Linked DNA regions of Macaca mulatta. The protein of the gene in region 1 interacts with the protein of each later gene in a pairwise test. Links are inferred from orthologs where the notes say so. Each region holds a gene or a part of one and is shown in the gene's direction. Other genes may lie near its edges. The genes, in order: FLACC1 and SULT2B1.

Region 1 (2,709 bases):
TGCAGGTCATGGAGGAAGAATTGCATGCACAAGCCCTCATCCTAGAGTCACTTAACGCAAACCTCTACTATACCCAGGTGGAACTCCAAAAAGAGGTGAGTCCCTGCTAGAGTGGGGATGGGGGTTGGGGGAAGAACCTAGGTCTCTGTCCAGCTCTGCCGTATAGCTCTGCCCTGGATGGCTCTGGGTTGGGGAAGATGGCTTTAAAATATTTGTCTTTCAGAAAGCTATAGTGGGAAATCTGGAGAAAATGCTTCAAACCAAGTGTGCTGAAACTGAAGAAAAGTATAAGTACACCATACAGATCCTGATGGAAGAGAACATTCATCTGAAGTGCGGCTGCTGCTGAAAAAGACATGGCTGAGTTCTCTTTAGGAGTGGGAAGGAGTTTGAGTGAGGAATGGGTTAGGAAGATAGACCAAGTGCTCCCTAGTTATGTCAAGGCACAGGCATTTTCAGGAGGGAGGTGTGTCACTGCAGGCCAGCGACACAAAGCCAGATAGTTCACTTGAGGTGGAGTAGAGATGTGTCTACACTTCTCCCATTCACCTGTGTCCTTGTTGCTGTGCAAAACAACACAGGAAATTTATCTCCCAGTTTCTGAGTTTGCTCAGTTCTATGACTGAGGGTGGTTTTTAAATCCATCTCCCCTGGGAGTCTGATGGTCTTACCATTACATGCAGCTGCTTCTGGTTCCTATGGAAATCAGCTTTGGATCAGAAGGTGTACTGTTACCTGAAGCTGCATCTTAAATCATTAAAATAAATTTTGGTCAATACTTTAATAGAGGAAAGTTATTTTTATTGCATTGATTTAGTAGAAAATTCCTCATACAGGACTTCAGTCACCTGAACACCATACCTCACTAAATTCAAAACCACTGGAAGTAATGAGTGAGAGACTGCTGTGGTGAAGGAATGAAGGCACATTGCTCTCCCCGCACCCCAAATATCCTATACCCTTTCTAGCTTTTGAGTTGACATTGATACATCTTTCCTTTCTTTTTACAGGCAAAAGGTAATTTCTAAGAATGAAGAAATGTATGAAGAATATTCTGGGAGATTGGCCTCTATCACTGTTTCTAAGGATGATTCTGACACTGTGGAAGATGGTAGCAAGAAAAGACAAGAATCATAAACATAAAGTCGCTCTCCATTGTTGAAGATGGTCGGCACACCATTTCTGTAGGCCCCGGAAACTCCCGGCAGGGTTTTCTTCAGAACATGTGTATAATGAGTTTAGTTCTTGGGTTGCTCTGACTCTATTTTTGCTCTCTTCTGAGTGGCTGAAAATGTTTGAATTCTCATCTGAATTTCACAGCTTATCACGGACGCTTCATTGAAAAATGATGCTCTCCGTACTGGGAGCTGAGCTTTCTCTGAGTTTTGTACTATTTTTCTTCCACCTTTATGTATTTCATAGGAAAGAAATAGATTTGAAAGCCTTCTTCCTATTGAACTTTTACTATATTTGGGGGGGGGGGTGTACCTTTGTCCCCTGGGGCATTTAGGTAGCAAAAAAAGATGATGTGTTGATTTTATTCTAAAACCTTTTTCTCTCATACCCATGCCCCCTACTTCCCTACCTCTCAATCATGTTCCCTGACCTATGACTTAGGAAGGGTTTCTGATGATTCTTACCACCTTCTCTGGACCATCACCAGAATTCAGACACCCACAGGGCAGGCAACATAAATAAGTGAAGTGGGCTAGACACAAGGAAAACAATTGCATAAGCATAAGTGACAACTGACAGCAGCCTCAGTAGAGGGGCTTGGGCAGGGCTGGGGCACAACGGGTGGAGAAGAATGACCTGCAGAGCACTGTCTCATCTGAAGAAGGTGCTTCTCAGACCTTTGCCATGCAAAAGCATGAGGTCAATATTGTCAGATATTATTATTTTTTCAAAGAAGGTATCCTGGTTTTTATGTGATATCTCCTAATTTTTAAACGTTGACAACAAATTTTAAAAATACAACTGTGTGTGCCAATCATGGGAGACTCAAGTAGAACATGCCTGTGGTCCAGATGTTTTCCACCTGTGAGATGTCATTGGCAGAAACCAAAATCAAACACAAAAAAATCTCCAAGGAGCAGTAAGATCAAATCATACTTTATTCTATTAAAAAATATTTTTGAAAAAAGATACTTAAATTTTAAAGATAACTTAATTCCTAATGATTTAAAATAATCCAAGCAGAGATGAAAGAGCAAATGCAAATGCATAAAAAGACCCACAGCATTGTTAGCAAAAAGCAAATATAGTTAGCCAAGCCTATATGCATCATGAAAGCAAAAGAAGGCAAAAAGCAAGTTTGGGGATAAATTATGTAAAAATTGTAAAATAATTTGAATTTTTAAAAGATTTCAACAAAATTTTGTTTTATTAAAAAAAAATTTTGGCTGGGTATGGAGGCTCACATCTGTAATCCCAGCACTTTGGGAGGCCAAGGCGGGCAGATCATGAGGTCAGGAGATCGAGAACATCCTGGCTAACATGGTGAAACCCCATCTCTACTGAAAAATACAAAAAATTAGCCAGGCGTGGTGGTGGGCACTTGTAGTCCCAGCTACTCGGGAGGCTGAGGCAGAAGAATGGCGTGAACCCAGGAGGCAGAGGTTGCAGTGAGCTGAAATTGCACCACTGCACTCCAGCCTGGGCGACAGAGTGAGACCCCGTCTCAAATTTTTTTTCGAGACGGGGTCTCAC
Region 2 (3,202 bases), on another chromosome or scaffold:
TTCGGAACCCACTAGGCCACTGCCTGGCTATGTGACCTGGGAGAGTTACTTAACCTCTCTGGGCCTCAGTTTCTCACCCAGCTGTAACATTGGGTGAACAGGGTCACTGTGGCCCCAGGGTTGATCACGCACAGGGCTTAGCACTGGCTCGGCACACGTGCCAGCCACCCGAGGCGTCCCCACCCAGAGAACTCCCAATGAGAGCAAAACGTCCAGGAGTACTGCCAACGCCAGGTCTGCCCGAGAGAGATCTAGAATCTTCACAAATCCTCCTCCACGGCCATGTTCACGGCAGAAATACTCAAACTTTGGGTTATGGGGTGCAGGCGGCAGCGCAGTTGTTTCCTCTTCCTGCTGTAACGAACACCGCAAACTCCATGGCTCAAAACGACACACGTTTACTCTTTTTTTTTTTTTTTTTGAGACGGAGTCTCACTGTGTTGCCCAGGCGGGCTGGAGGTTGCAGTGGCGCGATCTCGGCTCACTGCGACCTCCGCCTCCCCGGTTCAAGCGATTCTCCTTCCTCAGCCTCCTTGAGTAGCTAGGACTACAGGCACCCGAAACCACATCTGGTTAATTTTTATATTTTTAGTAGAGATGGGGTTTCACCATGTTGGTCAGGATGGTCTCAATCTCCTGACCTTGTGATCCACCCGTCTCAGCCTCCCAATGTGCTGGGATTACAAGTGTGAGCCACCACGCCCGGCTTTTTTTTTCTTTTCTTTTTTTTTTTTTTTTTTTTTTTTTGAGATGGAGTCTCGCTCTGTCCCCAAGGCTGGAGTGCAGTGGCTCAATCTCAGCTCACTGCAACCTCCACCTCCCGGGTTCAAGCGATTCTCCTGCCTCAGCCTCCTGAGCAGCTGGGATTATAGGCATGCGCCACCACGCCTGGCTAATTTTTGTATTTTTAGTAGAGAGGGGGTTTCACCATGTTGGCCAGGCTGCTCTTGAACTCCTGACCTCGAGTGATCTGCCTGCCTCAGCTTCCCAAAGTGCTGGGATTACAGGTGTGAGCCACGGTGCCCGGCCCCTGTTTTTTTAAATATGTTTTTAATAAGGACAGGGGTCTTGCTATATTGCCCAGGCTGGTCTCAAAGTCCTGGGCTCAAGCAATCCTCCTGCCTCAGCCTCCCAAAGTGCTGAGATTACAGGTGTGAGCCACCGCGCCTGGCTGCATGTACTTTCTTAACATTTCTGGAGGTCAGGAGTTGGGCTAAGGTCTGTCTCCCTGGGCTAAGCTCAAGGTGTTAAAAAGGACATATTTCTTCTGAAGGCTCTAGGGGAGAATCTCTTGCCTCACCTTCTCAGTTGTTGACCCACCTGCATTCCGAGGCTCATGGCCTCTTCCTCCATCTGCCAAGCCACCAGAGAAGCATCTTCTTCTTTCTTTTTTTTTTTTTTTTGAGACAGAGTCTCTGTCACCCAGGCTGGAGCGCAGTGGCGCGATCTCGGCTCACTGCAACCTCCGCCTCCCGGGTTCAAGCGATTCTGCTGCCACAGCAGAATCCCTGAATCCTATCAGCCCCAGGTTTCCAGGTGAGGGGTGATGCCCTGGTGATAGTCCCACAGTGAGAAAACTGAGGCTTGGACTGGGTGCAGTGGTTCATGCCTATAATCCCAGCGCTTTGGGAGGCCGAGGCAGGTGGAGCACCTGAGGTCAGGAGTTTGAGACCAGCCTGGTCAACATGGTTAAACGCCATCTCTACTAAAAATATAAAAATTAGCCGGGTGTGGTGGTGCACGCCTGTAATCCCAGTTACTCGGGAGGCTGAGGCAGGAGAATCGCTTGAATAGGAGGTTGCAGTGAGCCGTGATCACACCACTGTACTCCAGCCTGGGCGACAGAGCGAGACGCCATCTCAAAAAGAAAAAAAAAAATAGAAAACTGAGGGTTGGAGGGTTGCTGAGGCTTGCGTGCTGCGCCAGTCCGCAAATTGGTTGCCAGCCCTGAGCACAGTGCCTGCAGAAGGGCGTCCCTTCCATGTCCCAGCAGTAATGGCTGCAGCACGGAGTGTTGTGGGGGCATTGAGACAGGAGGCCTTGTTCTAGCAGGGGAGGTTTGGGACTGGTCGCAGAGGAGGTGACACAAGCTGTAAGGTGGGCAGGAATTCGGGGTTGGAGACAGAGGTTCTAGGCAGAGACTTAAAGGGTCCGGGATAAAGGGGAGGACTGACAGGAAGCCTGCAGTAGCAGAGGCAGTGAGGGTGGAGGTGAGAACGGTGCCAGGTGACAGGCCAAGACTCTGCCACCATAGGACACAAAGGGGGCAATGTGGAGGGTGGGGAGGATGGTGTTTCTGGCAAAGGGAACACCTCGCCAAAGGCCGGGAGGGGTAAAGAGGGTGCTGGAATGTTGGAGGTAGGGGCACGGTGCTCCCCAGAGGCTTCTCACCCCCTGGCGCGCCCTCCCCTCCAGGGGTCTGCGGCGACTGGAAGAACCACTTCACGGTGGCCCAGAGCGAAGCCTTCGATCGTGTCTACCGCAAGCAGATGCGGGGGATGCCGACCTTCCCCTGGGATGAAGACCCGGAGGAGGACGCCAGCCCGGACCCTGAGCCCAGCCCCAATCCTAAGCCCAAGCCCAGCCTTGAGCCCAACAGCCTGGAGCCTGAAACTAGACCCAACTCCAGCCCCAGCCCCAACCCTGGCCAGGCCTCTGAGCCCCTGCACCCGCGACCCTGAGAATAAACACGTCGCTTCTGCTCAGGTTCCTTGATGCGCTGTGGCGGGGCATGCAGCGGGGCGTGGAGAATCCTCACCACGCCAAGGCTTCCAGAGGCCGGGTTTCCCGACTCAGAGTCCTGCCCAGAGGCAAAGGTGCTGCAGGAACCCAGCGCTGGGCTTTCCCGGGCTGGGGGCCTGATCCCCAGTCTGAGGTAGAAGGGGACTGGGGGCCTGGACTCCCGGGTCTGAGGGAGGAGGGGCCGGGGGCCTGGACTCCCGGGTCTGAGGGAGGAGGGGCTGGGTTATGGACTCCCGGGTCTGAGGGAGGAGGGGGCTGGGTTATGGACTCTTGGATGCAGAGCCAGGCTTTGGTAACGAATGTTTTTGGCATGAAGTGGTTTTATTCCAAGCAGACGTAAAGGGGAGCTCCGGCAGACCCGCCCTGTCAGCACCCACAGAAAGTCCCGCCACCCACCCCGTTCGCCTGTGGCTGTGGCTGTACCACATTCCAGTCCCTCAGTATTCAGCTCCATGCCTCA

The links.
Region 2: the proteins of FLACC1 (region 1) and SULT2B1 interact in binary tests that used the Homo sapiens proteins (3 or more experiments, as listed by UniProt). The two-hybrid records come from large-scale screens. The link is inferred for Macaca mulatta from reciprocal best matches to the Homo sapiens genes FLACC1 and SULT2B1.

What each region holds. Positions count from the first base shown.
Region 1 is NC_133417.1:106,399,231-106,401,939, reverse strand, and holds the end of FLACC1 (flagellum-associated coiled-coil domain-containing protein 1), read left to right. Parts: intron 1-5; coding exon 6-95; intron 96-223; coding exon 224-333; intron 334-1,010; coding exon 1,011-1,137; 3' UTR 1,138-1,977; downstream 1,978-2,709.
Region 2 is NC_133424.1:61,059,385-61,062,586, forward strand, and holds the end of SULT2B1 (sulfotransferase 2B1), read left to right. Parts: intron 1-2,415; coding exon 2,416-2,681; 3' UTR 2,682-2,701; downstream 2,702-3,202. UniProt on the Homo sapiens protein: Sulfotransferase that utilizes 3'-phospho-5'-adenylyl sulfate (PAPS) as sulfonate donor to catalyze the sulfate conjugation. Responsible for the sulfation of cholesterol.